2 linked regions of the Alligator mississippiensis genome follow. The protein of the gene in region 1 purifies or fractionates together with the protein of each later gene. This does not show direct contact. Links are inferred from orthologs where the notes say so. Each region holds a gene or a part of one and is shown in the gene's direction. Other genes may lie near its edges. The genes, in order: PRKAG3 and PRKAA2.

Region 1 (16,176 bases):
CATGCCCCCCTCGTTGTCTGCAGGTACCTGCATAAGCCCTACCTCATCGGAGGCAGCAAATTTGACCTGCGCATCTATGTCTACGTCACGTGCTATGACCCGCTGCGCATTTACCTCTTCAGGGATGGGCTTGTGCGCTTTGCCAGCTGCAAGTAAGTCTTCAGGGGCAGCTCAGAGCAGGTACAGGCCAGCTGTGCTGCTATCTGGGCACAGTAGGGGGCTGATGTTGTGGCAGGGCACCAGTCTTCTCTGTAGCAGAGTAGTCTGGTGCTCCCAGAGCGGAGGTTAAGACAGAGCCCCCTCCCTGCCACTGTCTGGGCACCCCATTACCCACATGCTGATCCCTGTCTACCCCCCTGCTCCCGGCCCAGGTACTCATCCTCTATGAAGAGCCTTGGCAACAAGTTCATGCACCTGACCAACTACAGCGTGAACAAGAAGAACACAGAGTACAAGGCCAATGCCGACGAGACCGCCTGCCAGGGCCACAAGTGGTAAGGCCGGGGCTGGCTCCTCTCTATCGCTGTGGAGAAGAGGGGGGTTCCTGCCAGGGCTCTACCACCGCAGAGCTCCAAGCACTTTCCAGAAGCAGCCCAGTGTTGTCCCATGTCCGGCAAGGAAACTGAGACATGGGCAGGGCCAGTGGCAGAGCTAAGGATGGTATTTGCCAGACAGCTCCGCCCCTGCCAAGCTGCCCTCTGCTCTGGCAACCTCAGTTGCTGGGATGCACCAGGCACAGCTGCCAGTGACCCGGGTATCGGAGTTATCCCTGTTGCTGCTCCCAGGAGCTGGGCCAGGCCTCACCGTGCTCAGCGCTGTCCTTTCCAAGGATGATTCTGCCTGGAGTTACCCCTGGCTGCCCACAGGTGCAGGGTGGTGATGGGGGGCCAGGACATGCTTGGGTCATAGTCACATCCAGGCCAGGCAGGCTGCAGGGCCCCCCTCTGGCTCCATGGGACCTGCAGGGTACAGAGCAGCTGACACCGCTGCCCATGCTGGGGGTTGTGTGGGGGGAGGCCCTGCCCTTCCCTGCCCCCTTCCTGGCGTAATGCCCCTGTTACATAGCGCTGTCCGATCCTTCTGATTCCTGTGCGGGACCTGGGAGCAGTGGTGACCTCCTGGCCCATGCAGTCCTGACTGGTTGTGTGGGAGGTTCACTGTCCCGGGGGTGGGGTGGGGGGACAGAGCTATCTATCCCAGCCCACCCTGGCTGCTGCAGCACTGGCTGTCCGTAGTAGAGAAGTCTGGCCACAGAAGAGCATGCTCCGTGACTCTGCCCACTGTGGCTCCCTTCCCCTCCCTGCATGCACCTGGGGTGGGGCAGGCACCTGGTGCTGTGACCTCCCATTATCTGGCTCCCCAGGGCACTGAAAGCACTTTGGAGCTACCTGAGCCAGAAGGGGGTGAACAGCGAGGCCATCTGGGAGAAGATCAAGGACATTGTCGTCAAGACCATCATCGCGTGAGTCTCAGGGGCCCCCTGCCAGCTTCCCTAGTATTGCCACAGCCCTGAGCTGTCCTGTTCCCTGGTCATGTAGTGACAGCAGCTGCTGGGCTTGGCCGTCACCTGCAGCCTGGGAGGAGTCGGTGTCCAGCGAGCTGGGGTGGGATGGACAGTTGTGTGCTCCTAACCCAGGATAACTGCCAGGTGTGACTCCTCTGGCCAGAGCTGGGGGCAGAATGCTCCCAGCATGGGTCACAGCAGCATAGTGGGCTGGCATCTGCGGCCATCCTAGTGCCTTGACCCCTGCCCCCAGCCACCCTGTGATAGCTGCCCCTTGCATGAGCTTCTGCTGCATTACCTATGACTGTTATCAGAGCTGGGGGGGGGTTACCCCAGGGCAGAGGGGTCTGGGGCCATCTGTCCTGTCTCCTGGGACTCGGGTCCTAGGCAGCTCGTGTCCATATGCTCTGCCCAAGATCCTTTCTGCACCCCTATCCTTCCCCCCCCCCCCCCGCACCTATCCAGCACTGGCTGTGCCTGATGTCTGGGCCGCAGGGATCTAGTTGCAGCCCCAGGGCGGCCAGGAACTTTGTCTCCTTCCCATGGTGATGGCTGTGAGGTGCCCAGGCCTCCGCTTGGGCACCCTCTGAGGCCTGGCTGAGCATCTGCCCTCACCTAGGCCTCAGGACCCTGGTCTCTGGCTGGAGCATGCCCTGTGGGGCCAGGGCAGGAATGGCAGGTCTCCAGTGCTATGGAGGCCTGTTCTCAAAGGCCAGTTTCCCTTGCCAAAGGCCCCCACAGATCCCACCAAGGCTTGGCTAGGGCAGGTCACTTGGGACCTGAGTTCAGGTTCATAGAGCCACGGCCAGCAGGGAGCTGTGGGGTCACATCCAGCCCGAGGCAGGATCAGCCCCAGACAAACCCCATGTGCAACCTTGGAGCTGCACGACACAGTCATCCCTGACACAGCCCCAGGCGTCACCCCTGCCCCTGGGATACATGGGGCTGTGGGCATCAATGTCCTGGGAGTTGGGCGCTGGAGAGATCCCAGGCCCAGGCTGTGCCCCAGCTGCAGAAGGAGGGAAAACCCCCCAGGCCAGGCCATGCTGAGCAGGGGGCAAATCCTTCCCTGCCTGCCTTGCAGCCAAGGCAGCCTGAGGCTCTAGCCAGGACCCTGTGGGGCTGAGTCTCGGCACAAGCGTTGGCACAACCCGGGCCCAGCATCCAGCACCTCTGGGGGCAGCTTAAAACCCACCTGACACGTGGAGCAGAGACTCGGGGGGAGCACAACTAGCAAAGATTTGTTCAGCAAGAGTCTGTGCTGCTATGCCCAGGACTGGCCTGTTGGGAGAGCTGTGGGAGCACTTCTGCCTGTTGGGAGAGCTGTGGGAGCACTTCTGCATGAGGTGTGGTGTGGCGTGGCTAGCTGCTGCCCAGCTCCCCAAGCTAGCATGCCTCCCCTTGGCTGACAGGTCGGAGCCCTACGTGACGAGCCTGGTGAAGATGTACGTGCGGCGCCCATATTGCTGCCACGAGCTCTTTGGCTTCGATGTCATGCTGGACGAGAACCTCAAGCCCTGGATCCTGGAAGTCAACATCTCCCCAAGGTGGGCACCCAGGGGACCCTCGGCCCTACTGCCCGGCACGTCGGTTTGGGCCCCTCCCTCTCTCTCCCCTACCGAAGCGGGGCACAAAGGCTCCCTGCCCTTTCTCTATTTCAGCGTCTCTGCACATTCCCCCGGATGAGCTGGTCGACAGCCGGGCGCTCAGCTGTGCTCTTGGCAGGGTAGGGTGGGTGTACTGGGTCCGGGGCCTGCATGAGAGCTGCCCATCATTGTGGGAGGCATTCGCCCTCACAGAGTTCCTTAACTATCACTCCCACAGCCCTTGTGGGTGGGGAGAGGGGCCAGGCACCTCCGGGATCTCCGGCCACGGCAGACTCATTCCTTCCCTGCTCCCCACAGCCTCCATTCCAACTCGCCGCTGGACATGAGCATCAAGGGCCAGATGGTCCGCGACCTGCTGAACCTGGCTGGCTTCATCCTGCCACCTGCCGATGACATGGCCTCAGGCACCACCAGTGGCAGGAGCTCCGCCACCAGGTGAGTCGGGGACTGGGCCCGGCCCAATCCTCCTCCCGCGGCTGGTCCCTGCCTTCAGCTCCCAGCTACGTTGTGAACAGGGCAGAGATCCTGAGCTTTGTTATGGACCCTCACCCCTTCCCGCAGGCCCCTGAGGCCTCATGGGTTAGAGTTATAGGAGAAGCGTAAGGCCCTGACTGCCCGTGGCTGTGCAGGGGGCTTTGACCTGGCCGTTGTGCCTCGTCCAGTGTCTAGTTGCTTCCCTCCTTGCCCAGTGTGGCACCAGCTCCATGCAGCTCAGGAGAGCAGAGGGGGGCTCTGTGTTCTCATGACTGCCAGCAGGGTTTGGAGTAGGTGTCCGGCAGCACCCGTGGCCTTCATGGGGCCTGCGCAGTGCCCAGAAGAGCGGCTGCTTCCCAGGTCAGACCCTAGGTCCGTCCTGCCTCGACTCCAGTGTCACAGGGCATCAGAGAGCCCATGAATCAGTCTGGAGCAGCTTGGCTTCTCTCAGCTGCTAGCCCTGCCCCACTGCAAGATGACACCAATCCTGTCTGCTGCCAGTGCCCCAAGCAGAGGCCTGGAGCAGCCTCTCTGCCTGCCCTGCCCTGCCCTGCCCATCTGCCCTGAGGCACTTTCTAACCTGGCCTTGGAGCAGCACCATCCCCTTAATGGGATCCAGAACAACCATCCTGCATCCAGGGGCGGCCTGTCAGGCTGGGACCTGTCCAGGGCAGAGCTGGGCAGTTAGTTGGAGACGGGCACGATTCCATGCGTTCCCCAGTGCTGCCAGGAATAGCTCGGGCAGGGCTGGCCCAGTGAGTCCAGGACAGCATGGGGGGAGGAGGGACATGTTGCAGCCATGTCTGTGACAAACCCATGGCTACAGCCAAGAGCCAGGGTGGGGGGGCCTGGATCTGTGCTGCCAGACAGAGGCCCTGGGATCCTGGCAGATGAGCAATGGGGTGTCACCGGGGATCCAGCCTGTGGTTTCATGCAGGCTGCGGTGGTTCTGTCTCGGCTGCAGCCACCCCTCCCTGGAGCCTGCGGGGGCCCTGGGCCGGGAGGCTGCCGACGGGCAGAGCCGTAACCGCGCCGTCCTCCGCACAGCCTGAGCAGCACCGCAAGGGAGAAGCCCCGGCCGGCCCCGGAGCAGGTGGTGGCCGAGAAGATGAAGAGGGCATATTACCTGACGCAGAAGGTGCCCAACCAGGTACGAGGCGCATATGTGCGTGTCCCCCTCCCTTGCAGGCCCCTGTGCCCCCCTGGCTGCAGCTCTGAGGCCTCAGCCCTGCCACGGCCCTCCTTTTCTCCTGGACCTCCTCAGCAAGCAGGCAACACCTCTGTGCCTCAGTTTCCACATCCTACAGGTTGCTTGGGGCTCAGGGAGCTCTGCTGAGAGCCACTGAGTGAGAAGTGGGGTGGAAGGGACCTCTGGAGGTCACATCTAGTGTAACAAACTGGAAGACAGCAAATACAGATTGGACATCAGGAAAAAATTCTTTACCATGAGGGTTGCCCGGATATAGAATATGCTTCCAAGGGAGGTGGTGCTGTCCCGTTCCTTGGAGGTGTTTAAAAGGAAATTAGATGCACACCTGGCTGGGATCATCTGACCCCAGCACTCATTCCCGCCCAGGGCAGGGGATCCAACTCGATCTCATAAGTCCCTTCCGACCCTACTTCTATGAAACTGAGATCCAACCTAAACCCACTGGGTTGCAAGCCCCAGCCCTGGGTCCACATCCTCGGCAGCAGTGGGGAGGGCTGGGGTGCAGGACCGAGCCAAGAGCTGGCCCCAGGGGCTGCGGCCCCCTATGCCATCCTCTCGACCCACACCTGCTGCTCCCGGGTGCAGGATTTCTACACCTCGGTGCTGGATGTGCTGACGCCGGATGATGTGCGGGTGTTGGCAGAGACGGAGGATGAGCTCTCGCGGCGCGGGCAGTTCGAGCGAGTCTTCCCTGGGCCTGGCGCCTCCCGCTACCTGCGCTTCTTTGAGCAGCCACGCTACTTCAACATCCTCACGGCCCAGTGGGAGCTCCGTTACCACCTGTGCAAGGGTAAAGGTAAGTCCCCTCCGCACCCCTTGGAAACCTCACGGTTCCTCCCCCAGCGCCCTTGGCTGTCCGGGGAGGGGCTGGCCCAGCATGGGCCTTGAAGCAGGTCTGGCTCCCAGCACTCTGTCTTAGAGGGCTGCATTTGGGCATTAACCCCTCCAGGACTCTGCCATCACCCCCCCCAGGTCCTTGGTGCAGTGGGTCGTAGGGAAGTCAGGCTGGAAGGGACCACAGGAGGTCCCCTCTGGGCCAGCCCCCTGCGCAAGGCAGGAGCACCCGCATCCAAACCACCCCAGATGCGCATCCGTCCAGCCTGGTCTGGTTTCCAAGCTTGGAGGTTCCACCCACGGCTCTCTTGGTCCAGGTCCTCTTGGTCTCCTGCCTCGGTTTCCCTTGCTGCAGCTCGAGGCTGTTGTTCCTCGTCCTGTCCCCTGCGGGCCAGAGAAAAGCCCGTCTCCATCCTCGATTGGCCCTTTGGGGATCTGAAGCCTGGGGTCCTGCCCTCATCCCCCTGGTCTTCTCTTCTGCAGGCTGAATAACCCCAGTTCTTTCAGCCACAGTCGCCACTGGCCCCCTCACACCCTGGGTCTAGAGCTGAGGCCAGTGTCGGCTGCCCCTGCCTGGTGCTGGGGGAGACTGTGGTGGGGTTTGTCCCCTGCTCCGTGGCCTGGGCGCTACTCTGGGCGAAAGCCGAGGGTTGCCTCTTGGCACCGGCGCTGGCTCGTTCCCCTCCAGCATCATCCCAGGGACTCCTGCTCACAGAGGGAGCAGGCAGGCTGGCTCCAGGCAGGCGCCAGGGCCCCAGAGATGCTCCGGGCTCCTCCATCCAGTTCAACATGGAGTTCATTGCTGCTCTGGTGCCCACCTGCATCCTGGGAGCTTGGCAGGGCCCTGGACCCGTCCAGGCTGAACTGAGCAAGCCCATCTTCTCCTTGTGGCGTTTGCCCAGGGCCCAGCTGCCCCCCTCCTCACCCAGCAGCTTCCCTTGCAGGCTTGGAGCTGCTGCGGAGCTGGTGCCGCCAGGGCTTCCATGCGGGGGTAGCAACGGATGTACTGCTGGTGAGAGACCGCCCGTGCCCTCCTCTCCCACCACAGTCCCTGGGGCTCTGGTCCTGGGACCCCAGCTGTGGCCTCAGCACCTCATGATGCCCCTGCCCCTTTCCTCTCCCCCTGCAGTGGTCTCTGCCCAGGTCCCATCTCCTCCAGAAGAGCAACCCCCACCTCAATGGCTTCAGCAAGCTGGACCCCAGCCGCATCAGGTAAGTGATGGCTGCAGGGCGCAGGCCCTTGTCCAGAGGAGGGGGCTGGCACGTGTTCTCGGTCACTCACCCACCCCCTTCCCTTCCCCTGCCCTCCCCTGCAGCAAGACTCTCCCAGCGCAGGAGCCCAAGGATGCCACCCGGGCACCAGAGCCCAGCCCTGGAGCCCAGAGCTCGTCCCTGCTGCCTTGCAGTGGCGGAGCCAGCAAGAAGCCTGGAGCCCCCCTGGCCGAGCCCACCCCGGCCTTGTGACTGAGCCGCCAACGCCCCCTTTGCCCCCACCCCAAGCTGAAAGTTTTGGGGGGGGGACCTGGAACCTACCTCACCGGAAGCTGCAAGTGCCAGCACAGGAGCCCTGGAACCTGCCCCGCCGCCCGCGTGCCACGGTGCCGGAGCCAGGCCGATGGACACTGGGATGTTTCAATAATGATCTCTGGAAGGCGAGGCCGGGGCTTGGCGCCGTTCTTTGGGCAGGGGGGAGGCGCTGGGGGTAGAGCCGCAGCCCCTGTGCCATGGGGGCTGGGTCCAGCTTCCCCCACCCCACAATTCTGCCCGCAGGAAAGTTCGTCTTGCCCAGGGATGTGGAGCAATGGCCACTAAGGGGACTTGGGCACTAGCACCGCTGCCCTCTCTGCCCCCAGGCTCTGACCCTGCCCCCTTCTCCCCCTCCCGGGCACCGACCCTTGCCTGCCCCCAAAGGAGCCAGGCTGTCACACGGTGCCCCCAGTGTGGGGCAGGAGCTGGCGCTGCTCCAGGGACGGGGGTCCCCTTCCCACCTGCTCTGCCTGGGCTAGAGACCGTGGCCCCGAGGCTTGGCTGGGCCAGGGCAGCCGGCAGCCCTGGACCTGCGTGTCTGCCTGTGGCGTGCAAGTGCCCAGAGCCCTGGGCCTTGCCCCCAGTCTGCCCAGTTCCCCCCAGCAGGAGAAGGCAGTGCCCTCCTCCCTCTGCTTGCCCCAGTCCGGCATTCCCGAGTGACCGAAAATAGCCGCGGGCGGCAGTGAAAGCGGAGAGCCCCGTGTGGGTGTCCAAGGCCCGGCTGTGTGTGTCGTGTGTGTCCCCACCCTGGCCATGGGGCTGGCACCTGGCTCAGCTTTGTGGCTTGGACCCTACAGGCCCCTGTCCCGTTCTCCCCCGCCCCCGCCTGGCACCTGCTGCCCCCTCCGTGCCTTGCCCGCTGCCCCCTCTCCCTGCCATGTGCCTGCCAAAAGGGAGACCCAGTGCCAAGCCCCGGCCCCTGGAGCCCTCTGGCAAGACCAGGGGCTGCCCCGGGGATGTGCGTGGCCCCCACTCCCCAGTTCCTGGTGCCAGGGTGTCCCCCAGGCTGGGGGTGGGGTCAGGCTTTGTACGGGGCAACACTGGCCCCAGCGGGTTTTCTAATAAAGTCTGTGAGTGCCGAGGGCTGGGCCTCGCTGATCTCTGCTCGTCGCCCCGCACCGCCAGCCCTGCCACTGCTGGAGGTGTGGGGAAACCGAGGCAGGCTCGGGGTTGGGCAGAGGGGGGGTGTTGCCTGGCCTCCACCCCCCGCAGCCATGCAGAGGGCCGAGCCGCCTGGCCTGTGATCCGAGAGGTTACGTGAGCTGCCCGGGCAGCTGTCCCGAAATCGGAGCCAGGCCTTGTGGGGCGGGGGAGCAGCTGGGGGGGACCTCAATTGTGCCAGCTCCCGGGGGCCTGATGTGATGTGGGACTGAGCCCCCTCCCCCAGCGGCTGGGCACACTCGGCCGTGCGTCTGCCTGGGCATCCCCCGTCTGTCCGTGCATCCATCAGCGCTGCTGGGGTCACGGTGCCAGGGCTCTGGCCTAGCAACCCCTCGCGCCCCCCCGCAGCTCAGACAGCTGGACCCCCCCGGCAGGGCGCAGGGCCTGCGACACTCAATCTGCCCGCAGCCGGCTCAGAATAGCAGCGCCGGGGCGGCTGCATGGAGCTGCCCGTCGCCACCCAGCAGGTACTGGCGGGGCATGGGGGGCTGGGGGGCCAGGGGCAGCCCCCGCTGGGGGGACAGGGCCCAGGGGTGGGCCAAGGGCCAAGGTGGCTGCCTGCACCCTCGGCCCAGTTGCACCAGTTCCTTGGCCCCTCCTGCCCCAGGGCCCTGGCACTTGCCAGCCTGGGAGTGCACCCCGCTGTGGTCTGGGATCCCCCCCTGCCCAGAGCGGGTCCCATGGGGGGGCTCAGACCCCCTGCAGGGTGAGGCTGGGCCCAGGCCTTAGGCTGCCCTGCTGGTGCCTCCCCAGTAGCAGGTGCAAGGCCCCGGTCACGGCAGTGCCCGCCTCGCTCTGCTTTCCGCCCTGCCAGGTCCGGCCGCTGGACGCCCGGCTGCCCTCGCACCAGGCAGGTGGGTCGGGGCGGCTGTGCAGCGAGCGTTGGTCCTTGGCCCCGCCGGCGCCCCTCACTTCCAACCTGCAGCTCCCTGCTCCCATCTCCAGCCCTGCCGGTGCTGGTCCTGACCCACAGCTCCAGTTCCTTGCCCCAGCCCCCCGGTGCTCCTCACTCTCAACCCAGGGCTCCCCCCAGTCTCCTCCATCCTGTCCCCGTCTCTGCTATCTTGGGGACCCCCTCCCAGTCTGTCCTTGCCAGCTGAGCTGTCCCCTCCAGCCCTGGAGATAGGAGTGAGGGGCACTGGCAGGGCTGAAGGGTTGGAAATGAGACTGCTCCCTGTAATCCCCACGGGGGGCAAAACAGTGGGGTCCCTGCCCCCAGCCAGAGGGTTGGGGGGGTTGCCAGTTTGTCCTACTCCCCAATGCCCCCCACCCCTGGTCCAGTGTGCAGAGGCCGGGGCTGGGGATGGGCTGGGATGGGACTGCCCCCGGTTCACGGGGCTCCTGCTCGTCCCTCCAGGCTCCCACGTGGCCCCACGGGCCCCGTGCTGGGAGGCTGGGGCCCAGGATGTGGGGCTGGGCCTGGGGGACGCAGGAGCCGACGTGCAGGGCATGGAGGTTGAGGCCACGGAGCCGGAGCCCCAGGCCACGAGCTCGGGCGAGCCGGAGCCGGTGCCGGTGCCGGACGCGGAGCTGCTGGGGCTGGGCCCGGAGGTGGAGTTCCAGGCGCCGGACGCCGAGGCGTACATGCGCTTCATGATGAGCCACTGCTGCTACGACGCCATGCCCACCAGCTCCAAGCTCGTCGTCTTCGAGACTTCGCTTGAGGTGCGGCCCGTGGCCGGGGCTCGTAGGGGCCGGAGCCTGCGGCTCTAGGGCCGGGCCTGGCGCTGCGGGGGTCTGGGCTGTCAAGGGGCAGGGGCTGGGAGTCCACGGACTCGGGTGGGGGCTGTGGCCTCAGGGGCAGCCGTGGTCTCCGAGAAGGGCTGTGGCTTCGGGGGGGGGCATAGTCTCTAGGGAAGGGGCTGTTCCCCCAGGGGGTTGGCCGTTGTCTCGGGGGCCAGCTCTGGTCTTGGAGAGTGACCTGGGTCTTTGGCAGTGACCGTGGCCCCGGAGGGATCGGCTGTGGCCTGGTGCCTGCCCCCCCCCGATGCCTTCCCCCCCTGCCCCCTCCCCAGATCAAGAAGGCCTTCCTGGCCATGGTGGCGAACGGCGTGCGGGCGGCACCGCTGTGGGACAGCCGGCAGCAGTGCTTCGTGGGTGAGTGCAGGGCCGTGGCCTCGGGGCAGCTGTGGCCCTTGGCTGAGGTTGGGGGGAGGGGGGCTATGGGTTGTGGGGTCTGGGGGGCTGCCGTGATCTCTAGGGGAGGGACTGTGGCCCCTTGGGGGTGGCCGCACTCTCCAGGGCCTGACCTCAGGGCCCCCCTGATGATTCCTCCCCCTGCCCCCCGGTAGGCATGCTCACAATCACCGACTTCATCAACATCCTGCACCGCTACTACCGGTCACCCTTGGTGAGTCATGGCCCCAGGCGGTGTGGGGGGAAGTGTGCCAGGTGGGACCCCCCCCCACCCATGGGTGCTGTGGGCCCCATGCAGAGACCCTTCCCCCCTGGTGCTCACCCCTCCCCACCATACTCTGCAGGTGCAGATCTATGAGATCGAGCAGCACAAGATTGAGACCTGGCGAGGTGAGAGCATGTGTGCACATGTGTGCAGGTGGGAGACTGCATGCACGTGTGTGTGCCTGTGAGCATGTGTGTGGATGTGGGGAGGGAGAGCGGGGGGAAGAGTCTGGGGGTTTGGAGGGGGCTGTGTGCAGGGTCAGGGCGCACGGGCCTGACACAGGCCACTACTGTGAGACGTCCAAGGCACGTCGTGGATGTGTGTGTGTGTGTGTGTGTGTGTGTGTGTGTGTGTGTGTGTGTGTGTGTGCCTGCCTGTGTACATAGGTGGGTGTGCGTGTGCCTACTTGTGCATATGCATGTACGTGGGTGCATGTGCATGCCTACTTCCATGTGCATATGCATGTGCATTTGCACGTATGTGCTTGTGCATGTGTACTTGTTTATATGTGGGCATGTGTGCATCTGTGTGCATGTGCACACCTACATGTATGGACATGTGCTGCCTTTACCCCCCGCCTCACGGTCTCTGCTTCCCTGCAGAGGTTTACCTGCAAGGCTCCTGCAAACCCCTCGTCTTCATCTCCCCCAACAACAGGTAACTGCCCCCTCCGCCAGGCAGGGAATGCTGGGGAGGCAGGGGCAGCTCTGAGCCAATCCCCCAGGTAGCTGGGACCCCCACCAGGGTCTTTCCCAGCACTCGGGGGGGCTGGGCACTAGGGTGGTGGGGGCAATGAAGATGGGAGAGACAGGAGTGGGACCCAGGAGTCTGGGCCCCTGAGCTATGTGTGATGGGGGGGCAGGCTTGGCAGGCTGGAGCCAGCCCAGGTGCCCCCCGCATGGTCAGAACCAAGGACCTAGAGCTGGGCAGGGGGGGCCCAGCCACCCTCCTCCCCCCATGCTACCCCTGGGCCTTGCTCCCCCCAGCCTCTTTGATGCTGTCTACTCGCTGATCAAGCACAAGATCCACCGGCTGCCCGTGATCGAGCCGGTGTCGGGCGACGTCCTGCACATCCTCACGCACAAGCGCCTGCTCAAGTTCCTCCACATCTTCGTGAGTGGGGCGCGGGGGGGGGACCCTGCCTTGCCCCTGTCTGTGGCAGCAGGAGGTGTGTGTGGCGGGGGCCATGCCCAAAACATGCCTGGCAGGGTGGGGAGGTGTGCTGGGGTACCTGGAGGCTGAGCTGGGTGCAGAGGTCCTGGTGTGTGCGAGCCACGTGTGTGTGGAGAGGAGATGGGCACACGTTGCATATGGGCAGCAGGCGTGTGAGCTGAGAGATGAGCACACATATGCAGTGCCAGTGGGTGTGTGTCTGCATGCAGGGGTTATGTGCTTGTGTGTGGTTGTGAGTGCATATGTGGAAACGTGTGTGCACATGTGTGTGTTTGTACAAGCCTGCTGGGGGTATATATGTAGCAGGGTGAGCACATGTGCTATGTGCATACGGACGTGCATGCATACATGTGTGCAGAGGGTGAACATGTGTGCGAGCACGTGTGCAGTGTATGGGTGGGAGTATACATGCAGGAGGCATACATGTAGTGGGGCGAGCACACCTGCTGTGTGCACATGGGTGTGCATGCATGCAGAGGACAAGTGTGTGTAGAAGGGTGAGCACACATGTGCAGCATATGTTTGGGTAGAGGTGAGCAAGCATGCAGGGGGCATGCTCTTCCTTAAGGAGAGGATTGTCCGAGCCCGAGGGGTGACAATCCCAACGTGAGTCAAAGGAAGCAAGAGTGCTCAAAAGCCCCCTTGGCTCGCCAAAGGCATTCAGGAACTCTTGAAAGCCAAAAAGAAGGCATACATCCAGTGGAAGGGGGGGAGCTACCACCAAAGAGAAGTATACCTCCTTCGCTCGGGTCCGTACGGGGACTGTTAGGAAGGCTAAGGCGGAGACGGAAGTAGAGCTAGCATCAAGGACAACAAAAAGTCCTTTTTTAAATACATGGGGAGTAAAAAGAAGGCACCAGGCAACGTGTGGCCCCTGCAGGATACGCCTGGCAATCTGGTGGTTGCACCAGAGGAAAAGGCAGACCTTGTTAACAAATTCTTTGCCTCCATTTTTCTGAGCAGGGAGCGGGATGTCCCCCCCGGGACTCAGGAGAGACTCCGCCAGGCCTAGGGTCAGGGAGGACCAAGTCAGGGAACTTCTGGAGGGGCTGGATGTGTTCAAATCAGCAGGTCCAGATGCTCTCCACCCCAGGGTGTTGAGGGAATTAGGAGAGGTCATCGCGAGGCTCCTGGCACAGCTTTACAAGCACTTGTGGTGCTCTGGCCAGGTGGCAGAAGGCTGGAAGAAGGCCAAAGTGGTTCTCATTTTCAAAAAAGGGAGGAAAGAGGACCCAGGAAATTATAGGCCCGCTAGTCTTACTTCAGTCCTGGGGAAGCTCTTTGAGAAGATTATCCAGGAGCACATCTGGGAAGGAGTGGCAGGTGGGACGAAGCTCAAGGGCAACCAGCACGGGTTCATTAGGGGCAGGTCCTGTCAGACCAACCTGGTGCCTTCTACGACTAGGTCACAAAATCCTTGGACGCAGGTGTTGCGGTGGATGTAGTCTTTCTGGACTTCAGGAAGGCCTTTGACACTGTCTCCCATCCCATCCTCATTGAAAAGCTAGATGACTGTGGCATCGATGCCTACACAGTCAGATAGATTGCGAATTGGCTGAGGGGTCGCACTGAGAGTGGTGGTGGACAGGTCACATTCGACCTGGAGGGCTGTGGGCAGTGGGGTTCCCCAGGGCTCGGTCCTCGGGCCCACACTGTTCAACATCTTCATCAGTGACTTGGACGAGGGGGTGAAAAGCACCCTGTTCAAGTTTGCTGACAACACCAAGATTTGGGGCGAGGTGGGCACACTAGAAGGGAGGGACAGGATACAACTGGACCTGGACAGGTTACAGAGGTGGGCGGATGAGAACAGGATGGGTTCAATACTGACAAGTGCAAGGTGCTGCACCTGGGGAGGAAGAGCCAGCAGCACACCTACAGGCTGGGGAACTCCCTTCTCGTCAGCGCAGAGGCAGAAAAGGATCTGGGAGTCGTCATTGATTCCAAAATGAACATGGGCCGACAGTGCGGGGACGCTGTCAGGAAGGTCAACCACACCTTGTCGTGCATCCACAGATGCATCTCGAGCAGGTCCAAGGAGGTGATCCTCCCCCTCTACGCAACACTGGTCAGGCCGCAGTCGGAGTACTGCGTCCAGGTCTGGGCACCGCACTTCAGGAGGGATGTGGGCAGCATGGAGAGGGTCCAGAGGAGGCCACTCGCATGATCGGGGGCAGCAGGGCAGGCCCTACGAGGAGAGGCGACGGGACCTGGACCTGCTCAGCCTCCACAAGAGAAGGCTGAGGGGGATCTGGTGCCCATCTATAAACTGTCCAGGGGGGACCAGCGGGGAATGGGGGAGTCCCTGTTCCCCTGAGTGCTACCGGGAGTAACAAGGAATAATGGCTACAAGTTGTTGGAGAGTAGGTTCAGACTAGACATCAGGAGGCGCTACTTCACAGTCAGGGTGGCTAGGATCTGGAACCAACTTCCAAGGGAAGTGGTGCTGGCTCCTACCCTGGGGGGCTTTAAAAGGAGGCTGGATAATTCCTAGCTGGGGTCATATGAGCTTAAACTTACCAGGGGTCATATGAGCCCAGTATTCACTCCTGCCCAGGGCAGGGGTCGGACTTGATGATCTGCTCAGGTCCCTTCCGATCCGACCAACTATGAACATACGTGTGCGGGTATGCAAGCGAGCTGGATGCATGAGAACATGCATGCTGCGTATATGCGTGTGTGCAGGATCATGTCTGCAGCATGTACAGCATTTGCATGTGCAGGCAGCAGTGTGCGTGGGTCAACCTGAGTGCAGGGGGGTGTGCGATCACACGTGCAGGTGTGTGCAGCTGGGCTGCTTGCAGGGCACGACTATCCCGAAGCCGCGGTTTCTGCAGAAAACCATCCAGGAGCTGGGCATCGGCACCTTCCGCGACGTGGCCATGGTGCACGAGGCAGCGCCCGTCTATGACGCCCTCGAGATCTTTGTCGACCGCCGGGTCTCTGCCCTGCCAGTCGTCAATGAAGCTGGTACGGGTGCACACCCGCCCCCCACCCCACCCCACCCCGAGCCTGGGTTGCTCCCAGTGCCCACTCATTGCGGGTCTGTAGGGTCCCATCCCTGCTGCCCGTGGCCCTGACACTTCTCTCCCATGTCCCCGCAGGGAAGGTCGTGGGGCTGTACTCCCGCTTTGATGTCATTGTGAGTGCCAGGGGCGGGCATGGCGGGGAGGGGGGCTCTGTCCACGTTGCCTCGTGGTTTGGGGGTGGGGGGGGAAGGAGCTGCTCCGCAACCCTGGAGCTGCTTCGGGGCCTACTGTGGGGCAGGGACCAACCCCGATTGCCATGGGGAGGTTGTGCATGTGTGTGCAGGGGTGAGCGTGTGTGTGTGTGTGTGTGTGTGTGTGTTTGTGCATGCGTGCAGTGGTTGTGCATGTGTGTGCATGGAGATGAGCGCACGTATGCATTGTGTGTTCTTGTGTATGTATGCAGGGGTTGTACACGTGTGTGCCAGAGTGAACGTACCTGTGCACTATGCGTGTATTGTGCATGCATGCAGGGGTTGTGCACGTGTGTGCGCACCTGCAGGGGGTGTATCCATGTGTGCATTGGGGTAAGCACGTATGCAGTGGGTATGTGCATGTGTGTCAGGGTTGTGCATGTGTGTGAGTGGAGATGAGCACCCATTTGCAGCATGTGTGTTCTTGTGTATGTATGCAGGCGTTGTACATGTGGGGGTGAGCACATGTATGCAGTGTGTGTGTGTATTCTTGTGCAGGGGTTGTGGCATGTGTGTGGATGGAGATGAGCACACATATGCAGCATGTGTGTGGACATGCCCGCAGGGGACATGTGCCTGGGTGTCGGGGTGAGCATGTGTGCAGTGTGTGTATGCTTGCAGGGGTTATGTGTGTCTGTGTGTGTGTGTGTGGGAGATCAGTACGTATGTGCAACGTGCGTACGAGGGGAGTGTGCGCACATGTGCAGGGGGTGGATGGGAGACTTCTGAGGTGACCCCCGGGGCAATGGGGGCTGGTACCAAGTGCAGTGCCCCAGCGTGGCACCAGGGGGTGGCAGGGTGAGGCCCCCCCCCATGCACACGTGTGTGTGTGTGCTTGCACACATGCTTCCTGCATGCATGTACTGTCTTGGTATGCTCACCCCCCCACACAGACATGCCCAGCCCCCACAGGCATGCCTACCCATACACACATTGCACATGTAGGCTCATATTCACATATGCACAACTCCTGCAGACATGCACACCCACACGCTGCACATGTGCACACCCCCTCATACATGCACACAACCCCTGCAGGTATACACACGCTGCACCCACATGCTC
Region 2 (15,667 bases), on another chromosome or scaffold:
CAAAAAGGAGGCATACACCCAATGGAAGGGAGGGGCCCTTATCAAGGAGGAGTATACCTCCATTGCTCGAGATAGTAGGGGGGCTGTTAGGAAGGCTAAGGCAGAGATGTAACTGGGACTAGCGACCCAAATCAAGGATAACAAGAAGTCCTTTTTTAAATACATAGGGGGTAAAAAGAAGGTACCGACTAACGTGGGACCTCTGCAGGACACACTTGGAAATCTGGTGGTTGCACCAGATGACGAAGCTAACCTCTTTAACAGATTCTTTGCTTCCATTTTTCCAAGCAGGGACCGAGTCATCCACCCCCCTGGGATCCTGGATGCACCCAGGGGAGGCAAAGTCAAGCCCAGGGTCAGTGAGGCCCTAAGAGGATAGGCTTAGGGACCTGAACCTGTTCAGCCTCCACAAGAGAAGGCTGAGAGGGGGTCTGGTGGCCACCTATAAACTGGCCAAGGGGGACCAGCAGGCAGTGGGAGAGTCCCTGTTCCCCTGAGCACTACCGGAAGTAACAAGGAATAACGGCCACAAGTTGACAGAAAGTAGGTTCAGGCTAGACATCAGGAGGCACTACTTCACAGTCAGGGCGGCTAGGACCTGGAACCAACTTTCAAGGGAAGTGGTGCTCGCTCCTACACTGGGGGTCTTCAAAAGGAGGCTGGATAATCTTGCTGGGGTCTTTTGACCCCAGTACTCTTTCCTGCCCATGGCAGGGGGTCGGACTTGATGATCTGCTCAGGTCCCTTCCGACCCTACCAACTATGAAACTATTGTCTCAGAATTCCTCCAACCCCTCACAAGGTGAGGAAAGCCATCAGGCAGATGAAAAGCAACCAGGCATCTGGAGTGGATGGCATCCCCGCTGGAATCTTAAAGCAGGGAGGAGAGGAGCTCACATCACCGTTTCATGCCTTCATCTTAAGGATCTGGAATGATGAGGAAATCCCAGATGAACTTAGGGATGCCATGATTGTGACTATCTTCAAGAAAGGAGACATGTCTGACTGTGGAAACTACAGAGGGATCACCTTATTGTCTACCACAGGAAAGATCATCACAAGACCTCTTCTGAACTGTCTGCGTCCACTTGCTGAAGAGCTCCTCCCGGAATTTCAGTGTGGGTTTAGGGAATCAAGAGGCACAGCTGAGATGATCTTCACAGCTCACCAGCTGCAAGAGAAATGTGGGGAACAATGTAAGCCTCTCTACACAACCTTCATTGGCTTCATGAAAGCTTTTGACTCTTTGTCAGTCAAGAAGTATTGCCAGGAGATTCCTTCTGAAGTATGGATGCCCATTGACAATTGTCACTATTCTCTGCCTAGTCATGGATGCCATGATGATATGCAGGTGATGGTTCTCAGTAATGGATCTATCACAGAGCCCTTTGAGGTTAAAACTGGAGCTAAGCAAGGCTGTGTCATCACTCCAACACACTTCTCGAAATTCCTTGCTGCAATGCTGCATCTGACCACCAACAAGCTTCCAGATGGAGTAGAGCTAAACTACCGAATGGATGGTAAACTGTTTAACCTCAGCTGACTCTGAACCAAAACTAAGACCACCCTGACCATAGTCATTGAGCTCCAGTATGCTGATGATGCTGTAGTGTGTGCTCACTCAGAAGCAAACCTTCAGGCAACTGTCAACGTCTTTACTGAGGCATACAAGAAAATGGGACTTATGCTTAACATTCAGAAGACTAAGGTTCTCCACCAACAAGTTCCTAATGAACAGAACCCTGTAATCCAGATCCAGTAACCCAGATCCATGGTAAGACTCTGGAGAATATTGTGCATATCCCATACTGTGGAAGCCCGCTCTAACAGAAGGCCGACATCGATGAAGTAATCCAGCATCGCCTCAAATGGCAAGTGCAGCCTTTGGGCACCTGAAGAACTAGGTGTGTGAAGGTCGCAACATCAGATCCAAAACCAAGTTCATAGTTTATCAAGCAGTTGTGATCCCCACCTTGCTGTACAGAACTGAGTCACGGACAATGTATGGGAAACATCTAAAGTTGTTGGAGAAGTACTATTAATGCTGCCTGTGGAAGATCCCCCGAATCTAGTGGGAAGAGAGAGAGACACCAACATTAGTGTCCTCTCACAAGCAAACACCACAAGTATTGAGGCAATGATCATCTGGCATCAACTTCTTTGGGCCAGCCATGCCATCCAGATGTTTGATCCCAGACTCCTGAAGCAAGTTTTATTCTCCCAGCTCAGCCATGGTATACATTCAAGAGGAAAGCAGAGAAAGCGCTTGAGGGATGCCCTCAAGACCAGCTTAAAAAAATGCAACATCAATGTCAACTCATGGGAAACTATCACCCAGGACTGCCTCAAATGGAGGAAGAGTCTGCTGCAGGGCTCTCGGTACTTTGAAACCTCACAACAACAAGAGGAAATGGACAAGTAGGAACGGCTGAAACAGCATGTCACAGCCCAAATAAAAAAATCCAGCGCCACCACCAGCCACAGAAACACATGTCTGAGTTGCAGTAGAGTCTGTCGATCCTGGATAGGCCTCATCAGCCATCTTCGAACACAAAGATAAGACAGTCGTGGCAGACAATCATCTTGACTGAGAGGAATTTCCAAAGACGATGATTGGGTTAAAGGTATGTTCACTCTGTGACTATACGGGGTTAATTCTAGGTATGGTTTAGTTCAGAGGATGCCTGTGAGGAAACATGCAGGAATGTAGGACAATGGATCTGGATAAAAATCTGTCCTTACCAGGTCAGAAAGGCAAGAAACAATATTTGATGAATTAGTTCTGAAAAGGCTACTTGTAGGGTATTCAAAACAGATGTCTTGCCAAGAATGGGTGCAAACAAATCCAAAGGACCATGAACAATAAAAAACAGTCTACATTCAGAATTGAGGAGCAGTGGTCAGAGCAGAAGACAAGAGATGGAGCAGTGTCAGAAGAAGCTAGACCTTACCCAACTCTCCTGGGGGATCCTAAGAGTTAGGTAAGATAGGTACAGAAAAATAATCCTTTTCTCTCTTCTTTCTGCTGGGACCTTACTGTTCTGATTAAACATGACTTTGTCTCAAGGAAGCTCTCTGGTCACCCTGGTCTCAACTGAAAAAACCTCCCAAAAAGAAGATACATTTCTGAACAGGGTGTGCTTTTATTATGTATTATTACTTATTCTTTGAATTATGAAAATGGCCTGATTGTTGCTTTGACAGTCTTTGTTTGAGCTAATTATAATCAATGGAGATGTTGGAAAATTACAATATTTTTCTCATCATTAGCAGTACACTTTCATAATTTACTTATGATTTTGCCACATATACTTTGTTTATATGTCTTCATTGCAAGGGTTGGAGTCATTATTTCTATTTTTATATTTGTGTAGGTCCTTGGGTAATTTGATGCTGCCTTTGGAGGTCTTCAGCTACTCTCTTGTGTTTAACCGAACACATTGCAAAGCTGGGGATTAATGGCATTCAAATATTCTCAAAATACATTTTACGGGCCTTATAAATACATTTTATACATCTTGTTAACTAATATTCAAGCATGCATTGCTTAAAATGAGGTAATCAGTTTGGTTTTTTTAAATGTCACTTCTTTTCTTAATGCAGACAGAGTCCTGCTTAATGGAGGACTGGAGTCTTAATTTGAATAAACTTTCTGATTTTTTGCAATCATCTGATGACAGTTTTTATGAGAGATTTCATAGATTTCATAGACATTAGGGCTGGAAGGGACCTCGGAAGATCATTGAGTCCAGCACCCCACCGGAAGGGCAGGAAATCATTTGGGGTCATAAGATCCCAGCAAGATAAGCATCCTATTTACTCTTGAAGGTGTTCAATGTAGGTGCTTGAACCACCTCTGATGGCAGGCTGTTCCAGACCTTGGGGGGTCGGACAGTAAAGAAATTCTTCCTTATGTCCAGCCTGAAACGGTCTTGCAGTAGTTTGTAACCGTTCGACCTCATCAGCCCTTGGGGGGCTCTGGTGAACAAATGTTCCCCCAGATACTGGTGGTCACCCCTGATAAACTTATAGATGGCCACCAGATCACCCCTGATCCTGCACTTTTCCAGGCTAAAGAGCCCCAGGTCTCTCAGCCTGTCATCGTAGGGTCTACTTCCCTGACCTCTGATCATGCGCGTGGCTCTTCTCTGGACTCTCTCAAGCTTCTCCACATCCTTTTTGAATTGTGGGGCCCAAAACTGGACACAGTACTCCAGGTGCGGCCTCACCAAGGCTGAGTACAAGGGGAGAATGACGTCCCGGGATTCGCTTGAGAAGCATCTATAGATGCAAGCCAGTGTTTTGGTCGCTTTACTAGCAGCAGCATTGCATTGCAGGCTCATGTTCATTTTGTGGTCAATGATAACCCCCAAGTTTCTTTCTTCTGTAGTGCTAGCCAGCGTACCACTGCCGAGCCTATAAGGATGCTGCAGGTTTTTCCTCCCAAGGTGGAGAACTTTGCATTTTTTCATTGCTAAACACCATCAAGTTCTCGTCTGCCCATTTGCTGAGCCTGTCCAGGTCAGCCTGGATCACCCTCCTGTCTTCAGGTGTGGATGCTTTGCCCCAAAGTTTGGTGTCATCGGTGAACTTGGCCAGTCCACTCTGACTCCAATGTCCACATTATTAATGAAGATGTTGAACAATATGGGTCCAAGGACAGAGCCTTGGGGGACCCCACTGGTCACTGGGCACCACAACGATTGACTTCCATCAATTACCACCCTCTGGGTCCAACCACGGAGCCAATTTCCCAGCCAGCGGATCGTGGTGGACCCAAGGCCACAACTGGCCAGTTTCGCCAAGAGGTGATCATGGGTTACCAGACTGAAGGCTTTTTTGAAGTCAAGATATATGACATCAATCTCTTCTCCCTTGTCCAGGTGATAGATCACCTGGTCATAGAAGGAAATGAGATTGGTCAAGCTGACCTACCCACAACAAACCCGTGCTGGCTATCCCTCAGGATGTTGGCATTGGCCAGTCCATTAAGGATGGCCTCTTTAATAAACTTTTCTAAGATCTTCCCCGGGATAAAAGTCAGGCTGATGGGCCTATAGTTTTCCGGATCCACTTTCCTCCCTTTCTTAAAGACTGGCACCACATTGGCCTTCTTCCAGTCTTTGGGCACTACACCAGAGCGCCAGGAGCTCTCGAAGATCCGTGCCAGGGGCTGGGCTATGATGCTTGCCAGCTCCTTGAGTACCCTGGGGTGTAGATTGTCAGGGCCGGCTGACTTGAAGGTGTCCAGCCTCTCAAGGTGTACCCTTATGAGGTCAGCATTGATGGGGGGCAGGGGATCTCCCTCACCCGGACCTCCCTGTTCCGTAGCAGGCATGGGCATCCCATGGGACTGATGAAAGACTGACGCAAAGTACCCATTTAATAGGTTGGCTTTTTCCTGGGCGTCAGCTGTTAGTTGTCCCATCTGGTTCAGCAGGGGTTCAATGTTGCCCTTGCTTTTCCTTCGGCTCCCAACATAGAGGTTTATTTGAAAGAGGAAACTAACTTCAGGCAAACACCAGTGTTACCCCATCACAGTTCTGTGTCGCCCGCTAGCAGCAAAATCAGGGATCTTAGTTTAGGACTAATGCTGCATGAACTAATGGGGTAGCTTAGTTTGCTCCAGCTCTAAATTGGAGACCTGATGGGCCCAGGTTCAGTACCTGTAGTTGACCTGGTGTGTCGTCACACAACCGCTACCAGTCCAAGGCCTGGGCCCAGCCTATAGCTGTGGCAAGGGATTCGGAGGAGGAAGATGTAGCCTTGTTAAACCTACAGCTCCAGTGTGGATGACCTGCCAAGTTCGCTCCCTGGGAAGCTTGAGAAGGGGTGTGTTTCCTCTTTTTTGAGACAGGAAAAATGAGGAAAATCTTCATTAGAATACAAAAGACTATCAGTAAATGGCCAATTCCTTCAGATGGACAATGTAAGTTAAAAACACTGTTTGTTTGTTTTCTTAAATGAGTCTTCGAATTGGAAAGAAAAATCTTAGGAAGAACTAGTAAAAATAGCTTGCTCAGAGCAGCTGGGTTATTTATCCAGGATCCCTGTATCATTCAGGCCCCTGGATTTGAATCTATTCTGGAAGGTTTCATCACGTGATGTAAAGACATTAACGACTTCATGTCAGGTAGGCAAATGCACATGACTATTCCACTTTAAAACCCCACTGGACTACTGTATCAATCAAATTCAACATTTAATATTTATATTAATGAATGCCCTATCATTTATCTCCCAGGTGACTCTCAGCAGCCTCCTGCAGGTTTATCTTGAATTCCTGGAGACTCCAGGGCAATGCTGGAGGGATGGCAACCCTACCTGAAGCACAGGGCAAGAGTCTTGTGCAGCAATTTCTCGCCGTGCTGCCAAAAGCACCACACAAGGCAAGGGGCCAAACACTAGCCACCAACAAAACCCTGTGTGTTGAAGCAGGACGCTGCAGCACCCACAAGCCCACAGCAGGGCAGGCACTGTCAGCAGCATCAGCAGCACTTCTCTCAGGGGGTGCGCCACCAATCTCAGGGGGTGCGCGTGCACCTGTGTGCAGCCCCTAAGTGTCACCAATGGGACAGAGGACAAAGTAGCAGAAAACCAGAACATCCTTTCCGATGGCTACCCTCACCCAGCTTCAGAGGCCCTGTACGATGAAAACAATCCGTGAAAACGGAGGCTCCGTACAATAAAAATAACGCGCAAAAATGGATTTTCATTACATTTTAAAGATGAATTTTTGACATACAAAAAAACCTACAACTTGTGGTTCCAAAATGATCCCTTCCATTAGACCAAGTGGAAAATCATAAGCCAATCGTCCTTTTCTGCAAGCTTTCCCCATCCAAGTTCCTTTGTCCGGCTCTGGGGAAAAGTTGAGATGGTACAAGATGCTAAAAGGCATCATTTTGGCGCCAAGTGTTCTAGTTTTTTGTTACAGGGGCGCAGGCTGTAGCTGTGTTAGTCTAAAGACATGGGCAGACAAGGTTCTTTGGGTGAATCTGATCTCTTTTATTAGAGTCACTTCAGTTGCTAACAATTATTTTAAAAATTTCCAACTATTTCAGTGGGTCTCATAAGATTCTTTGGGTGAATCTCTTCTCTTTTATTAGACCCACTTAAATTGCTAACAATTTTTTAAAAAATTCCAACTATTTAAGTGGGTCTCATAAGGTTCTAAAGTCCTTTGGGTGAATCTGACCTCTTTTATTAGACCCACTTAAGTTGCTAACAATTTTTTTTTTTTAATTTCCAACTATTTAAGTGTGTCTGTGTCTCATAAGGTTCTTTGGGTGAATCTCTTCTCTTTTATTAGACCTACTTAAGTTACTAACAATTTTAAAAACAATTTCCAGCTATTTAAGTGCGTCTTATAAGGTTTTTTTGGGTGAATCTGATCTCCTTTACTAGACCTGCTTAAGTTGCTAACCATTTTTAAAATTTTTCCAACTATTTAAGTGGGTCTCATAAGGTTTTTTGGGTGAATCTGATCTCCTTTACTAGACCTGCTTAAGTTGCTAACCATTTTTAAAATTTTTCCAACTATTTAAGTGGGTCTCATAAGGTTTTTTGGGTGAATCTGATCTCCTTTACTAGACCTGCTTAAGTTGCTAACAATTTTTTTTTAATTTCCAACGATTTAACCACTTAAGGTTAAATAGTCTCATAAAGGTTCTTTGGGTGAATCTGATCTCTTTTATTAGACCCACTGAAGTTGCTAACAATTTTGTAAAAAATTTCCAGCTATTGAAGTGGGTCTCATAAGGTCCTTTGGGTGATCTGACCTCTAAGACCCACTTAAGTTGCTAACAATTTTTTTTTTTTTCATTTCCAACTATTTAAGTGGGTCTCATACGGTCCTTTGGGTGAATCTCTTCTCTTTTATTAGACCCACTTAAGTTACTAACCATTTAAAAAACAATTCCCAGCTATTTAAGTGGGTCTCATAAAGTCCTTTGGGTGAATCTGATTTTTTTGGTCTGCCTAGTTTTCTGTTTGTCTACTCGTCTCACACCCACCCGGGCTACCAAGTGCACCCCTGCACCAATGATGGATATCAATGAGCCATGGATGTGTCTATGTTTGTGGTCTTCGAGTGGAAACCTCGGGAGGGGAGGGGGGGGTTATTTTATTTTATTTAATTTTGGGGGTGGGGTGAGGTGGGGGTTGCTCCTCATCTGGCAAGGCAGTGCGCGCGCGGCAGGCGCGGGCGGAGCGTGGCCGGGCGGCAGCGCCGCAGCGGGCGGGGCGGAGCGGTGCGGGGCGGGGCGGGGCAGGGCGGCTGCAGGAGCATCCCCGCCGTCCCCCCGGCGCGGGGCACCCCCGGTCCCGCGGCCGCGCCGCGCCGCGCCGCCCCGCCCCGCCCTGCTGCATTGTGGTCCGGCGGAGGGGAGCGAAGATGGCAGAGAAGCAGAAGCACGACGGGCGCGTGAAGATCGGGCACTACGTGCTGGGCGACACGCTGGGCGTCGGCACCTTCGGCAAAGTCAAGAGCTGAGTGGCGGCGGGGGGAGGCAGGGATGCGCCGCGGCACCCCGCGGGCTGCAGGGATGCTGCCGGAGGCGGCGCTGCGTGTGTGCGCGGGGAGAGGGGCAGCTCCCGCTGGAAGAAGGAGCAGGGCTGGGTGGGCACGCAGCATCCTGCGGCTCTCCCTCCTCTCTGCCTCGTCGCGGCGTAGCTGTGGGCCCGAGGGGCAGGTGCTTGGCTGCCGGCGGGGCAGCGGGAGGCTCCGCGGGGACCCGCTGCGGGGCGGGGGGAGGACGGAGGGCGAGGAGCCAGGGATCGCTGCCCGCTGCCCGCACGCACGGACCGGAGCCGCGCAGCCTCTCGTTTGCAGCTCGGGCACGCCTTCGGCTTCTGCTGCCTGCAAGATTTGCAAATGCAAATGCAGGCACGCTGCTTTTTGGGGTTGTCTTTTTTTCCTAGGCAGAATTGCAACATGAAGTTTCATTTGGGATTTGGCTTGGATGGATGGACGGTGGGAGCAAAATAGACTGCAAAAAAAAACAAAAAAAAAGGGGGTGGGGGGATGGGCGCTACCTAGGCCAGAATAAACATGATCATTATGATCGTGATAATCATAACAACAATAACAGTAATGATAATAATAATGATCATTATGATCGTGATAATCATAACACCAATAATAATGACGCTAATGATGGTATGGATAATAATGATAATACTAATAATGATAATTATGATAGTGATGATCATAATAATGATAATCATGATAATGATTATCATGATAGCGATAGTCATAACACCAACAATAACAAGAACAATAATGATGATATGGAGAATAATGATAATAATACTGATAATTATGATAGTGATGATCATAACAATAATGATGATGATACTGATAATTATGATAGTGATGATCATAACAAAAATAACAACAATAATAATATGATACGGATAATAATCATAATGATAATTATGATAGTGATAATCATAATAATAATGATAATGATAATCATAGTAATAACAATGATGATGATGATAAGGATAATTATGATAGTGATAATCATAACAACAATAATAACAACAGCCATAATGATGATACGGGTAATAATGATGATAATGATAACAATAATAATTATGATAGCAATAATCATAACACCAATTATAACAGCAACAATAATGATGATAGCATAATAATGATGATAATGATAATTATGATAGTGATAATCATAACAACAACAATAACAACAATAATAATGGTGATGATAATAATGATAGTGATAATCATAACACCAATAATAACAACAATGATAATGACAATGATAATAATGATAATGATAATAATGATAATGTTAATCATAACAATAATAACAATAACAATAATGATGATAATAAATGTTCCCCATCATGCAAAACTGCACATACTGCATAACTGCAACAATAAATGACCATTTATCCAAGCCATTCCTGTATATGGCACTGACCTTCATAACAGCCAGCAGTTTCCAAAGAGACGTTTAAAGCAGCATCATTCTAATTTAAGAAACGGCTTTTCCTGGAGAGGGAGAATAAATACAAGAAAATAAAAATAAAATCTAATCTCTTCCTTTCTGATACTATAGTAAGCTTTCAGGGCATGTTTGACAGATGCAAAGTGGGTTCGGGGGGGGGGGGGGTTCAAACTGGGATGAAACGTGATGTGAGGCTTACGTGTGGAATGACAGCATTTGTCTCTAAACAAGCACTAGGATTACTCGTGTTAAAAAGAATATGACCGGAAGGAGACAGATGATGAATTACTGATTAAAGCTATATATATTATATATATTAAATATATATATTTAGTATATTACATCATTTTTTCTTACTAAAAAGGGGGGCTATGTCATTTTACACTCTCCCCCACCCCTCACCACTGATTGGTTCAGAGAGATGCCCATTTTTGGGTCTGGCTTCTCAGCCAATCAGCGGGAGGGGGATGGCCCACATGACGGATGGCCCTCTCGGCCAGTTTGCAACCAGGGGTGGGGCCATAGGATGGACAACCCTCTCGGGCAATAAGCGGTGAGGGGCCCTCAACCAATTAGAGGCATGGGAGGGGCCTGCCACAATAAGCCCGCTTAAGTGGTGGTCGGCCCCGCAATTGACACGTGAAATCAGTTGCCTGCCGCCTCGATTTCGGTAGGTCCCTAATAATACGCATAGGGGAAGCCTTGGAAGAGCCGCCTAGAGGTGCTGGGAAAGCACCGCTGGAGATTTTGAAGAACATAGTAAAAGAAACCTCTGTCCGTGGCTAAAAGTATACTTGATCCTTCTCAGGGGTTTGGACTGCTTGTACAGATTACAACAGTAATATTATAGCAGCACTCATTAGGCTTAGCCAGGGTCTTGGTTACCGCACAAGCACACATCAAAGACAAGCCCTAAAATAGAGGGGCGGTAAGCAAAAACCAAGGGAAAGGACAGTGGCTTGACAGGCAAGCAAAGGTTTGGGTAAAGAACTAGGACAACATTGTTACAGATGTTCCTGTTTCTAAAGTAAAATCTGGTTAATTATCACTCCAAGGGGATTGATGGGTAATGATGACTGCTTACCAGTAATTAGTCCTTTTCAATTCTTTGCTAGATGTATTTTTCATGTCATAGTGAGACGTGGTAAGCAATGAAGTTTGACATTTTAACAAGGAAGAAAAAAATTACAGAAGTTTTGAGTGCAAAGTATGTGCACTCCTACGCACTACCTAAGAACTGTCTGACGAAACAGATAAATGTTTAATGGACTTTTTTGAAAGAAAACTGTGGCGTGCTCACTCTTTAAGAGTTAAATGATTATGAGGGAATGAAATAATCAGTCAGCTATTTTTTCTGTCTGCTCTTACATGGACTCATCATCAACGTTCCCTTTAAGGTTTAGTGATCTGTGAGCAATCCTGGCTGGGAGTGCATGGGTATCTCGGTGTGCCCCCCACCCCACCGCCCTCCTCTGCAGCAGCTTATGGCTGGGCTGGGGTGGGTGGTGAGCAGCCGGAAGCGAAGTCGGTGGTGGTGGGGGGGAGCATCAGCACCCCCTTGCTATGGCACTGGGCATCCCCCCCAGGCCGGTGCCGCGTGTCCATGACCCCCTACTGCTCCCCATCGGTACACCACTGTGTGCGCGCCATTAAAAAGTTATTGCGTGGCATGATTTTTTATTGTGCGCGGCCACACATGCACATAGCTTAGAGAGAACCGTGCTCATCATCCCAAAATGGAAGATAATACGGTGCTATGGTTCATTGTCTGCATCTGATTGAGTCAAAAAAAGCTGGAGTATCCAACACTTGGCAAGCACCAGTGGGCTTGACAGGAGCTTTGGGGGGCGCATATCTTTTAAGCAAATGAAACCATATCTTAAATCGTATCTTTTAAGCAAATCATATCTTTCAAGCAAATTAATTATCAGAAGGAAATCTATTGTGATTTAGTGTGTGTACATTTGGAACGGGCTGCGCTGTAACAGATAAACTCGCCAAAGTGTTTTGTGTACAAATCAATGGGACGCTAATGGGGATTCAGTGTACTGACTAATCAGACCATAGCAATGATGAGTTATCCCAGTGCATCATTAAACAGATTTCACTGTGTTTAATTTGGGAGTGGAGGTAGGGAGGGTAGTGGGGTAGTTATTAGGATAGGAGATCTCTCCCATAAGCGCTTGTATTCTAGGTGTAGCACGTGCAGATATCTTAAATGCTTTGCCTTTACTGCTTCAACCAAAAGCCACGTGTAGAGGAAGAGACGGGATCTGTTTTAAAGAGCTCAAAGGGATCTGTTTTGAAGAGCTGGGCCAACAGGGACCTTTAGCATTTAGTGTAAACTTTAATGAGTCGCAGCTGATTGCAAGAGAAGTACTATTTCTTTCCATGGCCTGTTTCTACTTCTAAACCAGCTAAATCAGAAAGGTCCACTTTTAGAAACAGATTTTGCCCACATTTGCCTTGTTAGCATTCTCCGATGAATCTTTACCAAACATGGAGATTAGTGCACTGTCCAGATGAAACAGTAGGCTTTAAAAAAAAAAGATCAAGTCCCTTTTGCCCTGACTTCTTCAAGTTTGAGAGTGCTGGTGCTTATCCTTTGTGCTTGCTGTCTTGTTGCTGGAAGATCTGGGTAGCTGCTGCTGTTCCTTTTATTAATCACATCCATTGTTTCCATGACAAGGTGAATCACTGCTAGCCTGCTGAGCATCCTGAGGTCAATTCAACGTGCAGTTATACGCATAGCTAATGCCTGTCATTTGCCAGGAACGTGAAAGAATTCATTAAAACCTGTCTTACTTCCCTTCCCTGCTTCCCCCACCCCATCCATGTACACCCTTTTTATTGCATGGGATAACTTAGAAAGCAAATGCTTGGCTTGCTGAAAAAGAAACCCTCTTCCTAGTGTTTTATGGCAGGTGCCAAGAGCTGGCAGCAGGACTGATAATCTGGGGCTCTTGGAGTTTGGGGGTTGATGATCCCATTTTAAAGGGAACCCCCCTCCTCTCTTTATGGGGAGAAATGTGTTACAAAATACGGCAGTCTCTTTTTGGGTAAAACCCCCCCAAAGGAACAGGGCAGAAGGTGACATCCTGCAACCCCAGCTCTATGTGAGTGAAGCAGCACCAGCATCACTAAAGAAAGGTCTTTCCCTCCTTAAAGAATTTCGGTCTGAGCCTTCTCCCCATAGCTGCATGCTGTTTCTCGCCCCATTTCCATTGATTCCCATGGAAATTTCCAGCAAAAATCCACAAATTGTCAAGAGAAAATATGCCAGATAATTCCTTCTCCTGTCCTGGCCTGGAGAACCTCTGTGCGTGATGTTACTATGGGATTCCTGCAGTTGCCTCGGGAGTACAGACTGCTGCTCCCCTCGTTCCTTATCACATTCACCACCCAAGATCAGTCACCCTCCTTCGACCAGCTTCAAGGGCTGGAAGTACCTTTTTTACCAGGATCTGTGCAGGGAGCAGGAACCAACATCACCCAAGAAGCTGGGGGAAATGAAATCCCCGAGTCTAAATTCCTAAAACCCAAAATAATACCAATGTGCCATCATTTGTGAAAACCAGATAATACACGTTAGGCAATACATGCAGCTTCCAAAGCATCTTTGGACGGAGCCCAGCCTCCAAACTAGACCAAGCAGCCTGAGATAGCTTGTGGATCTTTTTAATACTTTTGCCAACTAAAGATACAGTGAAGGTCAGGGGCGGCAGTCTACCAAGCCAAGCACATAGCTGTCTTCACTCCAGTATATAAAGCCTCCTGTAGCTAGAAGCAGCAGCATTAAAAACTTGACGTGCTTAAAAGGTCCCCATTGCACAGCAAATTACATTCTCTCTTTGTCTCTGTCTCTCTTAAGACATGCAAGTAGGCTTAACAAGTCACTGGGGACTGAAACAATAATATCTCTGTATCTAATGCTTACTGTAATCAAAAGATGGATTACAAAACAGACTTTATTTTTAATTATTAATGTGCTGAACTAAAAAAATAAACCACAGAGTTGTATGCTGTTTATCAAGGATGAAAGGAAGAGAAACCATTCAGGAACATTAGTATTGTTATTTTAATTCTTTCTTTCAGACCTTCTCTAGTATATCGGTGATTAGGTGATACATAAAAAAGAGATCATGTCACTGGAGTAGGGTGAAGTAGGTCTAATAATTGGTATCCGGCAGTGCAGTAAATTACTGTGCTTAAATGCACATGTAGATGGTGATGTTGGGATTAGTCTATTCTGGCTCAGATTGAGCTGGAGCATATTTGGTCACATTCATTGCATGTGTAGACGCGCCCATTGTGTGGCTGATTGGTGAAGTGTGGGGCTTACAACCTCAGCTAAGTTGTGTCCCACACGGGTTTATCCGTTCCTGATACAGGGGCTGTAGACCTTGATCTGAAGCTATCTATTCAGGTTCCCTTTCTCTTCCCTCCTCCTACTGTGCAGCATGTACCCTAGGTACATTCTGGGTTGGAAGACAGACTGGTTTCCTTTGTAACACCAGTATTAGCCAGAACAGGGCTGCACAAACCAAGAGGAACCCCCCAGACCCCCCCATGCTTGTACAATATGAGGTCACCCTAATAGGTCCTATACATTGACATTCTCCATGGATGCCCCAGTATAGAAGAAGAATTTCTTAGCATGCAGTTCTCTAGAGGTTCAGGGCTATAGAGAAGTCCATAAGTATGGCACGGTATGATGTCATAAATTAGGGCAACCCCTGGGATGCTGTAATTTCCCAAATCTCAGGAGTGCAAAGATCCATCCGGGAACACGCCTTCTAATAGTGATTACTAGTGTTTTCAGTATACTGCACAGTGAGAATGACATATCTGCCTCATCCTGCACTGGATCCCTGAATTGCTCTTATTATACAAAATGCATTGCTTTTCACTGCCCTTATTTGTTTCTGTTTGTTTTTTACTATTGTGAAGTCTAAAATGGACATGCAAAGGAGCATTTTATTTTCAAGTGAGGCAAAGTGTTTTATTTTTAGGATACTCCTAATGAGGAAAGAATCTCAGGCAGTTCTTATCTCTTAGCTAATAATAGTGACCTTGCTCACTCTGAATGGTAGCAGTGTTACCACACACTCCTTTTCATGGTCATCTGTACACATTCAGGCATTGCATTATGCTTCTAATGATCTCTTTAAAGCTGATAGCAATTTAGGATGTTCATATTTTAATAGCAGGGTTTGTCCATAAGACAATTATCAACTCCTTACTGTTTCAAAGTATTATTACATGGCCTTCCTGATTATAAATGTTACCATTATGGTTTTTAGTGTAAAGAAGTTTTCAGTGTAACCTAAACATCTGTCTATAGTTCACCATTTTAAAAGCACTATGAGATTTTTTACATGTGTTTGGTTCGCTACCGATCTAAGCTGTGCTGCTTAGAGAAAACGGTGTTACTTAGATCAGTTTTGCCTCAGGCTTTTTGAATGTCTGTACCTAGCCTTAGTTAAATCCACCATTACATTAATCACAAATCAGCTTTTAAAATATACATTGATTTTAATCCACTAAAATATGTCAACTAATAGTGGTTTCCCCTTGTTTTAGATCAGATTGGTGATCTCTTTTCATACAAGGAAGTTATCAATGTGCAGTTATGACAAACTGTAGATTTATTTTGACTGAAGTAAAGCTAAAGCAAAATATAATAATCTAAG

Evidence for each region.
Region 2: the proteins of PRKAG3 (region 1) and PRKAA2 purify together in Homo sapiens (affinity purification with mass spectrometry; 3 studies listed by BioGRID and IntAct, counting the BioPlex papers as one, with this or other methods). This does not show direct contact. The link is inferred for Alligator mississippiensis from reciprocal best matches to the Homo sapiens genes PRKAG3 and PRKAA2.

The regions. Positions count from the first base shown.
Region 1 is NC_081827.1:253,863,201-253,879,376, forward strand, and holds the start of PRKAG3 (5'-AMP-activated protein kinase subunit gamma-3), read left to right. Parts: upstream 1-8,274; 5' UTR 8,275-9,478; coding exon 9,479-9,982; intron 9,983-10,332; coding exon 10,333-10,414; intron 10,415-10,608; coding exon 10,609-10,667; intron 10,668-10,797; coding exon 10,798-10,843; intron 10,844-11,320; coding exon 11,321-11,375; intron 11,376-11,704; coding exon 11,705-11,831; intron 11,832-14,695; coding exon 14,696-14,861; intron 14,862-14,995; coding exon 14,996-15,033; intron 15,034-16,176. Other genes in the region: tubulin monoglutamylase TTLL4, read left to right, coding at 24-152, 372-494, 1,364-1,462, 2,917-3,051, 3,409-3,546, 4,633-4,735, 5,381-5,591, 6,574-6,641 and 2 more. UniProt on the Homo sapiens protein: AMP/ATP-binding subunit of AMP-activated protein kinase (AMPK), an energy sensor protein kinase that plays a key role in regulating cellular energy metabolism.
Region 2 is NC_081828.1:12,122,969-12,138,635, forward strand, and holds the start of PRKAA2 (5'-AMP-activated protein kinase catalytic subunit alpha-2), read left to right. Parts: upstream 1-8,310; 5' UTR 8,311-8,395; coding exon 8,396-8,489; intron 8,490-15,667. UniProt on the Homo sapiens protein: Catalytic subunit of AMP-activated protein kinase (AMPK), an energy sensor protein kinase that plays a key role in regulating cellular energy metabolism.